Linked DNA regions of Caenorhabditis elegans. The protein of the gene in region 1 purifies or fractionates together with the protein of each later gene. This does not show direct contact. Each region holds a gene or a part of one and is shown on either strand. Other genes may lie near its edges.

Region 1 (6,269 bases):
CTTTTATAATTTCTTTGGTTCAAGCTGAATCGGTCCCTGTAATGTGTAAATGTCCGGTACTGAAACAAGTGGATGCGGAAGTTTATGCAAAAATGAGAGCACAACAGAATATGTCGATTGGTGAGATTCCAAAGTTTGCACCATTGGATATTGATTATGGAGATGATTGTACTCAAGTTTCAATTACTTGTTTATATCCACGTTTTACAAGACATCGATCTTCTGTATATTATACCAATGGAGTTGTAAGTTTAAGAAATCTTCAGTAAAAGTAGGAGTGCTGTAGTTTTGAAAGAAAAATCAATTGTTGTCTTGGAATGGATAGTATTTAGATAGGGGATAGTGAAGGGAGGAGTAGAGTAGGACTGAATATGCAAAATATACTATTGAGAAAGAATTATCAACCCGCAAATATTTTACATAACCTGAAAAATCTGAAAACAGGAAGCTAAATAATTTAAAACAAATGTAAACTGTTTTCACATGCTAGAAAAACTGAGAAAAAATATTCTGCCCCGGGCGGGATTCGAACCCGCGACTGGTTTAACCCAATGAGATCATAAGTCTCACGCCTTCGACCGCTCGGCCACCGGGGCACTGATTCTGAAAAATGTGCAACTCATTGAAATCGAAGTTATCAGATAACTCTCGGATTGAAACGTCTTTTCTGTAAATATTTTATCGAGTTGAATGAAAAAAGACACTAATTCAAGCAGCTTTTGATTTAGTTGCCTTTTTTATAGAGAAGAAAATATAGTTTGTTTGAAGTGTAGGAATGGAGTTAGAATCCGATCTTCTAAAAGTATTTGTTTAAATTTCGAGAAATACTCGTTGTTTTCTAATTTTAATTATGTTTGCTGTTGTGAATCTCAAATATTATAAACAAGTTTCAATTCCAGAATTTCTCAACAGTTCGCCGCCATGATTTGTCTGATAAGTACAGTATCCGATGTAACCAAATGACAGGAGTTTGGCTATCAGACGAAAATTCCGAGATTAGTTATGTGCCTATCGTCCGATGCTTGTGAACAAGGTTTTCTCTGGAATTTGGGAAGAGTTTAGCCATTTCTTCAATGTGATCTGGGATATCTTGAAGACTAACTTCGGATTCCTAAAGTTTATCGTTGGCTATGAATAATTTTGTTCGAAATAAATATGTTTCATCATCTGATAATGGAAAATTAAACTGAATGCAGTACGATTTTTCAGAATTTTAGATTCATATTTCGATTGTTATTTTGAACAGGAAGAACTCACGGCATTCATTTATTTAATCGGCTGTATGATTTTATTGAAAAATTCAAATATCGTGTGAAAATCAAGAAAAAAAGTAGTAAGTTGAGGATATAAATTGCAGTTTAAAATTTGAAATTTTCCTGGTAATTGGCTCAGAAGGTGTTTAAAATAAGTAGAATGGCATTTGTGAACAGTTTCATTCATAAATAAAGATGCTCTACAGTTCTATAAGTCTACAAGTTTGGAGCATTCAACATTTGCTATTCTTTGGTGAAGGTGAAGAGAGTTTGCTACTTTTTGAAGTTGAAGAAAGACTTGCCCAGCTGTAAAAATATTTCATTAAAAGTTTCCAATTGTTGGCAGCAATATTTTCTTATTTTCTTTGTGCTCATCAAAGCTTTTTCTACGATAAGCGGCTCAGGTGCCGCTCCAAACCACGCAGGCAACGCCTACAACCACGCTCAAGACTGCCAGCTTCTGCGTGGTCTAGACGCGTTGCCTGCGTGGTTTGATTTATCTGAGGTACCTTCAAAATTCAACGATTAAAAAAAACCTTTTTAAATCCACTCGGCTCGTGTTCCTCTTCAGAATTATGTTCCATCTGAACAACATGAGAATCTCGTCCTCCATCGTTTCGATCTTTATTATCATCCTTTTGATCACCATGAACATCTTCCTTCTTATGATCATCATGTCCTACATCTTTTTCAGATTTCTTGGATTTTGTAGACTTCATCGACTTTTTCGATCTGATACTTTTGAAGCTCTTGGCCAACGATTCAGCTTCACCCAATGCACCTAATTTTTTACAAGTCTTTTCTGATTTTTGAGCCATTTTGGGATCCGGTTTCTCTTCTCCATCTTTTGTCACAACGGTACGCGCTTCAAACGATGGATGGTTACATTCTTTACCCTCTGAAAAACATCCAGTTCTAAAATTCCAACATACACATTTTGATTGTTTCTTATGGGGTTATTCAAGTAGTGTCGGAAAATTAAAAAGTGTAGAAAAATTACGTCACAACTGTATTCAAGTATATAAAAACGTGTATTTAAATACATTTGTGAGGTCACAAATGTATTTAAATACATTTTGCTACATTACTTAAATAACCCCATTAGAGATCTTTTGCAAAAAATATCAAAGCACCACCTAAACCAGAGCTAGGATTCTGAGAGCAAAGAAAATCTTATCTGAGCAAAAGCCTGACAGGAAAAGTTCCACAGAATATTAGAATATTCTAATATTACTTTTCAATCTCCACATAGCACACATAAACCAAACAGCACAGCTCAGAGTACAGAAGACAAATCCAACAGAAATTACAATCCAAAACCACTGAAAAATTTCAAAAGATTAGAAGTTTTTAAAAATGAACTTACCATTGGATAATAATGATGATCGTATATATCAATTGTGACATTATTACCGAGAGTCAAAACTCTTTTAGTGATAAGTGAAGACGAAGTATTTGCCGGTTTTACCATCTCTCACTTTTGAAAAGTCAGGAATAAATTTGATTGTTCGAAGTCGTAGTAGATTTGTAAATAAGATTGTTTAAGTTCGTTGGCAGAAATAAAAGTTCACGCATTTCAGAAATGTGAAATTTAGAAAATGTTATTTTCGTAAAAACGTAAAATACAATTACAACAACATATATGTATATATTTTTTTAATTTGAACTTCCACGTCCCCCCCCCCCTCCTTATTTGAAAGTTGTCAATATCAGAGATTAGTCGAAAGTTGAATTATTTCTACATTTGTCTTCGTCAGCTTCGAACGAAGAAATCAAAATAAAACCGACGCTTCTCGAAAAAAACGAATCGTTCCGAGATAGTGTAATCCATCAATCAACGGATCAGTGAACTGAAATAAAATGCAACGAAGAAAGGGAACACGTGGAAATTCGCAGGATGATCAACAGGCATCTCGACGCCTTGCGAAAAAGCCATCTGACGAAAAAGTTGATGAAAAGGATAAAAAGAAAGGAGGAGTACTGAAAAGATTGGGATTTCGTGAGTTTAATCATACAGTATTATTTAGAAAAATCTGAATTCTTTCAGTTCTTCACAATGAGAAAAAGGAAGAGGTTGGAAGCACCCAGAAAAGGAGAAAACCAAAAAGAGGAACCGAACGGAAACGAGCATGTTCTCATCCGGTCTGGAATCCTGACAAGAAGATCCACTTCAATAACGAAAAAACGCATGCCATAATCCCGGTAAATACTTTTGGACTTTTTGGACGTTAATTATATTATTATACATTCCCGTATACATCGGGAAGGGTGCAGGTAGACTGAGAGACCTCGTCCGGGTGGAAAGTACAATAAAAAGAGAAAGCACTTCTCAATCCGAATTTATGATTTTCAGTTAAAAGGCGATCCACTGTCGGATGTACAGAAGAAGGTTTTCTTCAAGTTTGCAAGTGATGCTGTCAAGAAGAATCCTCCAGAGTACTCAGTCGAATTCATGACAAAAGTGAAACCATATCCTGGTCAGCCAATGGAACGGAAAATCTTTGACGCGAACCCAACAAAGAATCGCTATAAAGGTATGAAATATAGGAACTTGAATCGAATTAAAATTAATATTTCAGATGTTGTTTGCAATGACATAACACGCGTGATTCTCAGTGATGGTGGTGATGGAGATTATATCCATGCAAACTATGTAAATGGTTTGAACGCTCCGTTCATTTTGACACAAGGCGCCACTGCAGCAACTGTCATTGATTTCTGGAGAATGGTTGTTCACACGAAGACTGCCTACATTGTGATGCTATGTGAGGTGATGGAAGACGGAAAGGCTAAATGTGCCCAATACTATCCGGAAAAAGCTGGAGAAGCAATGACTTTCGGAGCATGGACCATTCTGTGTTCATTGGAGGATGATAAGGATGCGAATATCATCAAAAGAACATTATCAGTTAGAAATGTGGACAATGGGAAGGAACATATTTTGAAGCATTTGCATACAAAGTCATGGTAAGCCACTGATCTTTACAGAACAACATTCGGTTTAGTGTCATTGAAAAACCAAAATCAGAAAACTCAAACTGAAAATCTTTATAATAATAGAATTACTTTCAGGCCTGACCGTTGTGTCCCTAACTCTACGATGGCTTTGCTCCGAATGCTCTACATTGTGCGCACAGCTTCCGGCCCAGTCACTGTTCACTGCTCCGCCGGAATTGGCCGAACAGGCACTTTTGTTGCGATTGAAGCATGTCTTCAAATACTGACGGATGGGAAAGAACTGGATTTGCTGGGAACTTGTAGAGCCTTGAGAAGTAAGTTAATATTGAAATGATGATTTTTATTAATCACGTTTTTTAAGACAGCCGAGCCGGAAGTATTCAAGTTGACATTCAATACATGGCACTTGTGCAGATTCTGATCAACTACGGAAAGGATAATGGCTACTGGGATGACTCGGATTTAGATGATGTGAGTGTGACTTCAGTGGAAAGCAAGGTTTATGTATTATATTTCAGAGAGTTGAGCTTCTCACTTGGAACATCCAGCAGTTCATCCAGACACGTGGAAAAGTGGATCACGTACCAACAACACCATCCACACCAGCACTCAACATCATTCCAGCTGATGCCAAGCCTGTTCCAGTTGTTCCAAAAGAAGCTACTCCACATCATTCTCCAGCAGAAAAAGCACAAGAATGCATGGAAAAGATTTGCGAAAAGATTCTGAAACCTATCAAAAAGGACAAAGAATGCAAAGAGCACAAATCTCCGAAGACTGAACATCCAAAAGAATGCAAAGATCATCCACTTCCACTCGAAACAAGATCTTCTTCGGAAGATGGACCTGATATGGAAGACCAAAAAACTCAGGCGACGCAAAAAGTTGAGATCAAAGAGGAAACTGCTGCCCAGAATGACAATATCAGCATGATCTCTCTTCCAAATGAACCACTTCTGTCGATTCCCGTTGTGAGAAAGAACAGTAAAGATGGTAACAAGGACAGTTGCGATACGAAAGAGAGCAAGGAAACAAAGGGACACGAGAAGAAGAACTCCAAGGAAGGCAATTTCAAGCTGGTGAAAAAGGTATAAAGTTCGAATGTTTGTAGTCGTAACTAATTTATTTTCAGCAATCTGCCAACCGTAGTCAATACTTCCTGTAATGTTCTGCCATTACCAGCCCGCTCTTGTGATCTACTATCGAGTTCCCAAAATTTTTTTCCTTGAATGAATGGTTACTTGTATTTTTTGAGTTTTCACATTTGATTCATCTTTGCGACCAAAAAATTAGACATCCGGTAACCTTTGTCCGAGTGGAACAGCACATATTCACCTCATTCTCGTAGTTAGCTCCGTCACCTTCAGTCTTATTCTCCTCTTCGATCGAAAATCGCTGATCTTCTTTGAACAACGATACGATTGTCGGAGAGCGGTCTAGAACACCTTCAGCTTCATTCTTCTAAATACTTTCAAACTATTTTCAGTCAGACATTTGTAAAAGTTCAATACTTTATTTTAACTTTTCAAATAACCAACTCCATGATATATTATTATATTTGTTTTTTTTTCTTCAGTAATCACAGTACAGGGATACAGTTATCAACATGATTTGCTTCAAGAAACCGCAAAACCTGAGGTTTTGGAGGGCTCTGTGCATCCAACAAAAAGAAAAAAAAAAGAAAGACTGCCCTTTTTAGAAAAATTTGAAAAAAGCCTGAAAACAAACTGTGAATTTTAAAATTATCAGAAAATTGGAAAAAACGTATATTTTTTTAAATGAGATCGTCGCTTAGCTTTGTCTGAGGGTCGTCATGCTCGAAGGATCGGCGAATCTGGAAAAATCACATGCCCTACGGTGTTCAATTTTAGATATCGGGAAACAATAAATAGATCTGAAGAAAAAATCCCTGTTTTGCATTTCAATAGACTTTTTCTTTGTTTTCGTAGTTCTTCAAGTATTTCAATCTCTTCCTGTTCTCCACATATGATGTCCATCATCATCTCTCTTTCTCTCTTTCTTATTTTTGGTGCAAAGTATCGGAAGGGTCCAGGAGCG
Region 2 (5,264 bases), on another chromosome or scaffold:
TCCGAGAATGGCTCCGATAAGGATTGCGGAGAAAATAATGAACTTGATCATTATCTGAAAAAAAAACGTAAATTGGATAAAATTGAGTAGGACTGCCTAAGGGGAGGGGGCTCAGGGTCAACCAAAAAATAAATAGGTCAAGGATAAATAGGATAAATAGGATAAATAGGTAAAGGTCAAGTAAATGTTCTTTGTGTTTACAGTGTTTGGGACCTTTAAGACAACAGTTGTCATATCATTTCTAGTTTTTCGAATGTATAATGCGTTAACTGCGGTTCAAAGTCAATTGTCCAAGAGTGCCATGAGTAGGCATAAGATTGCTCTGAGAAGCCTGATAATGCAGGTACAGTGCTAAAAAGTAATAAAGCTCAAATTCCAATTCAAATTTCCAGTTCATGACTACCCCTGTCTCGTTTATCCCAGCATTCATGCTATTCGTCGTGACAAACTTTCCAACCAGATACTCACAAGGTTCGTCTCTCCACTGCATTTCGGGAAGAAATATGCATTTTTAGAGATTTCCCGGTACTCAATGATGATAGCAACTACACACTCCACGTTGAACTCATTGGTAGTCATCACAACGTATCCAGAGTTTAGAAAGATCTTCTGGAAACGGAATAATGTTATACAGTGAGTTAAATTTAGAGTTTGTGTTTTGGGACTCGTTTGCTAAAAAAATCTTTACAGAAGCTCTTTTCTGATATCATCCACGAGGCCGTCTGGTTCGAATCGGAACATTGTCTAACTTTTGCATCGGCACATCGGCATATGCCGACCTTTTTTTCGGCACTGTTCGGAATATTCACCAAAATTAATTTTTTAAACTCATAAATGCAAAGAAACTTCAAAAATTGATTAATATGTACGGAATTTATCATGTTAATTTCAATTTTACTAACTTCAATGGTAAAAGAATTTGATTTGTTTAAGAAGCTATTTAGTTTCTTTTCTAATGTGCCGAAGTGACGAGTGCCGATCGGCACAATGTGCCGACTTTTTTTTTTGAAAACGAAAGCACCAAAGTCATACAGCACAGGGCTGCCTTCTGTATCTGTGTATGAAACGGTATAAGGTCCGTCGATGGTGCACTGAATAAATTTTCCACCGCTTTTGGATTTATATACTTTGTTATCAAACTTAACAGTGTGTTAGTCAAGCTGAAATCATTTATTATTTTTAAAGCATTTCAATTAGTTTATTCCAGGTTTGAGCTCACTCAAGATGGACACTCATCGCTGGAATATTGTTAAATTAATCATGTTTTCACCTTTACCACTTACCACAATACAAAAAAGACCTTGGATTTCAGCCCATTAACAGTGTCCTCTTCGACCAGGCTGTTTGAAAAGTCCGATCCTCTATAGACAGCTCCTCTTGGATATTTTGTGATGTACCATTCATTATTTTCACAGATCACGCCGCATTGTGTAAAGATGTCAAATGGGCCGGCAGTACCAAGAACAGCTTGAACAGTCTGAACCAGGAATCTAGAAATTTTTACTGAAAGCATGGAAGACTCACTCCAAGGCCCGTAACGTCATCATCTGGCTTAGGAATTTCGGATTCTCTCCAACGAAAGGCAATTGTAGTATGAGTACCTGGCACGCACGTCGCATTCCGATTGCATCCAGCATTTTCCGTGTAAAATATGTGTTCTTCATCTATGTAGAAAAACGATTTGGTGGAGGAAAAGGTAGTAGGTAGTGCAAAAACTTACTTGTTATTAGATCAAGAAAGCTTGGACACTCACAATCGTCTTCGCATCCATATTCGTCTTCGCAGGCAACATAGCAAATGAGAAGTAGGAAAATGAGATATTGCTTCATTTCGACCATAGACAGTATAGTTTTGAGTGGCTTTTATACGGTTAGCTGATCAATAATCTTGTTAAGTGTTACTTTCCAAATGCAAATTAGAGTATTTAACCAAACATCAATGCTTGACTACTTCCGGCTTTGCGGAAATTTAAAGTTATAATTCAAGAATATACATAGACCATAATTTGAAAAGTTTAAAACTTTTTCCCATGGAAAGCAACACACCCAAGATTGGCTTACAAAAGTTTCATTAGTGATGAAAAGCGTGATAACTAAAGGGTAGGTAGGCGAATCCTTCTACCTACCTTTCTTGGTATAAGTTGGTCTGATGTCGACAAAATCTTTTTATCCGGCTCTATCTTAAAATGGCAACTGACCGAACATCTTTTGTGTTAATTAATCAAAATGTCTACAGTATTGATCTCTGGTGCTCCAACATCCTAGCTATTAACATATTAACAGATCAATTTACGAACCAACTCGGTGAATAAAAGGACAGACGTTTAGAGAATTGTTCACATGACAACATGAAAATCAAAATTTTTGCTTTTCTGGTCATATTTTTTTCGTGTTTCTGCATGGAACGTCTAGCATGTCAGAACCAGAGTTGCCCGTGCTCCAATCTCTATGACAACCTGAACGGTAAGCCAGCTGCTCTGACAGTTTAGTCGTAACTAGATGTATTCAGATGCAGAAAACACGGTATACTACGAGGGGCTAGGTTGCTCCAGAACCGTATACTGCACGGTCGGCTATTGGACGTGGCTAACTTTGTCCTGGGAGTTGTCCGACATACCCACTCCAAGTGACATTTACGAGGATACATTTGTGAGTTACAAGCACTTTAACACACCCTCAAGATTGATTACGTTTAGTTTGCTTTCACTTGGAATCATACAGACCCTATGGGGGTTTATGCCGGGGGTCCTATCACTGACCTGGTCTCTCTGTTGGGAATGCAGTGTGACCGCAGTACAAGCCAGTGGATTGTGACAAGATACCCATTTGGGTATTCCTATTTCAATCAAAACGATGAGAAGATTGTTATTGATGGGTACAGCGTGGAAGGCGTCAGATCAATAGTTTCGTCGACGGATTCACGATTTTCTTGGTACCCGTGAAATAATACGATTTAAAAAAATATATACAAGTTTCAGCGCAAATATGTGCAGATGTTCAGACCTGATGAGCTTGGTCGAGGGTATTTAAATTGGTGGGCTAGCTCTCAAGCCAACTTAATTGATTTCAGATTCGTCTGAAAATATTCTGTACACCTTTAATGGAAATCATTGCAGTAGCAATTTCACTTGTAATGCAGACTCCCAAACATTCATCCGATCTAGTTTTGACGGGTCGGAGATTCCTGGTATTGGTAATCGTACGGGTGCAATGGTAAGGGAAACCAGAATGCATCATCAACTTGACTAAACAATCTCAGCTGATTCCCACGATTCCCGAAGAAGATCAGCCAGAACACTCCTCTATAAACATTATGGTCGAACTCGGGATATATTGTCATGAAGGGGAATGGTATGTAACACAATATCCGTATGGAGTTACATACATGGATGATACTGGAACGAAATACATCACCGGAGAGGATTGGGGAGGGAAGAAATCTAAAGTTCTTGGGTTCAGATGGTAAATGATTTTGACTTTAGGTTATTTTGAATTTAACTGATTGTGAGTTTGATTTTTCAGTACAAAGTGGCCTTGAACTTCGTCGATTGTAGCAATAAATAATGTCCATGTAGACTATTGTTAAGATATCAATAAATACAATAGTCCTTCCGCACTAGACGCAGACCACATATGATGTGCAACTAATTTTATTTTGGCTTGTTAGAATGTAAGAATGTTGAAGACTGCAAAACTAATTGAGAAAATTTTGAAACACAACAGTAGTTTCTGGACAGGGCTGCCTTCTGTATCTGAATATGAATAAGGCCGCCTTTGAACCGCCAATAAGCCACTGAATATATTCTCCACCACTTTTGGTTTATATCTTTTGTTATCAATCCTAAAAGTGTGTTAGTCAAGCTGAGATCGTTTATTAATTTAATTTTTAAACGGTTCAAAAATTTGGAAAATGGGGGTTTTATTTCTGAAAGTTCTTGAAATTTGATATTATAGATCTGAGAATAAATTGTAGAAAGTCTTGAGTGGATAACATTTTTTTAACCTTTTTTTTGAGAAGTCGGGGGGGGGGGGCAGTACTAATAGAATACGGTTTAATTCAAAGTACACTGCATTCGTCATTATGTTCTTGAACAGAAAGCACACATAATTCAACAATCGTTTTAACAAAATTTCAGAAATTAAATCTTTCATCAAACAAATCTGTCTACTTTTTGACCACCTGTCAATTTTTACATATTCCGTAATAAAATTATGTTTTAAATTCAGAAAAGCTCAACATTTGCAATAAAATAGCTAGACAGTTCTGAAAGAAGAAGGCGATTATTATAGTACGTATTTCAAAAAAAAAAGGATCTTTCAGAAAATCCACATTAGTTTCGTTCTTGCGTCCCATTGGTCAACCGCGGAATTGAGAGATGATCTTCACTATTTTGTATTGTATTATTTTTTTAATGACGCCACGGGTGCCTGGGTCGTTGTAAGCGTGTAAAATACATGCAAATCTTCAACAAAAAACATTATGTTTTAAACATTTATATTAACGTTTTTGCAACGACATTGAACAATGAGTGTATGATAACCATTTATTACGACAATCGACACAATACACGACTTCTGTCCCTTTCACGGCCATTCTTTGCTGAAATTGGTATTTTATTTGTTAATGACGTAATTTAATTTCAGAGTACCAAGACATTGAGATAAAGGTGGATCTGACGTTGTCAATCTTTTCATTAACGACAATCTTTTTGCCTCTATTGTCGAAATAATAATACCCGAACGGGTATCTGGTAATGTACCAGAAATATGCAAAACATCTGTCATTGACAAGCGACTTCGTATCGCAGGCACATTGTATTCCCAACAGAGATACGAAATCAGGGTTAGTGGGCGGAAGTTGATTATAGAGCGTTCGATTCCACATTGAAGCATACTGAACTTGAAAAAATTAGCGTCTAATGCTTTGCGGAAATGTCAACGTTTGGCATTTTTTGTGACAAATCAAACTAAAAGACCTTTCAAATAATTGATGAATTATTGAAAAAGTATATATTTTTAATTTTTCTATAAAAAATTGGTTACTGTTCCAAAGTTGAGGGAAAAATACGGTAAGTGTTTTGAAAAACTGAAAAACGGAAACTTTTTTGAATAAGAATATCATTCATACTGGGGTGCACGGCAATCGAATTTCAGGCAATTTAGGTAATTTCGACAACTGCCGGAATTCCTGATAGTAGGAAATTCTAAAACCCAAAGTTGCAAAAATTGACGATTGCCGCGCATCGTTGAATCATAATCACGATT

Evidence for each region.
Region 2: the proteins of T22C1.9 (region 1) and T10D4.11 fractionate together in Caenorhabditis elegans (co-fractionation; one large-scale study listed by BioGRID). This does not show direct contact.

What each region holds. Positions count from the first base shown.
Region 1 is NC_003279.8:7,955,164-7,961,432, reverse strand, and holds T22C1.9 (uncharacterized protein), read right to left. Parts: upstream 2,787-6,269; 5' UTR 2,725-2,786; coding exon 2,620-2,724; intron 2,576-2,619; coding exon 2,488-2,575; intron 2,152-2,487; coding exon 1,790-2,151; intron 1,560-1,789; coding exon 1,527-1,559; 3' UTR 1,275-1,526; downstream 1-1,274. Other genes in the region: T22C1.12 (C6 domain-containing protein), read left to right, coding at 1-245, 900-1,028; T22C1.8 (Protein-tyrosine phosphatase), read left to right, coding at 3,114-3,252, 3,301-3,455, 3,607-3,787, 3,833-4,220, 4,326-4,525, 4,573-4,682, 4,730-5,299, 5,344-5,376.
Region 2 is NC_003280.10:3,146,705-3,151,968, reverse strand, and holds T10D4.11 (CW domain-containing protein), read left to right. Parts: upstream 1-2,347; coding exon 2,348-2,462; intron 2,463-2,508; coding exon 2,509-2,648; intron 2,649-2,695; coding exon 2,696-2,931; intron 2,932-2,977; coding exon 2,978-3,021; intron 3,022-3,069; coding exon 3,070-3,212; intron 3,213-3,258; coding exon 3,259-3,461; intron 3,462-3,521; coding exon 3,522-3,537; downstream 3,538-5,264. Other genes in the region: T10D4.19 (T20D4.11-like domain-containing protein), read right to left, coding at 1-51; T10D4.14 (G_PROTEIN_RECEP_F1_2 domain-containing protein), read left to right, coding at 254-343, 393-471, 516-633, 691-748; T10D4.1 (DUF19 domain-containing protein), read right to left, coding at 1,280-1,477, 1,525-1,664, 1,721-1,829; T10D4.15 (CW domain-containing protein), read right to left, coding at 5,204-5,264.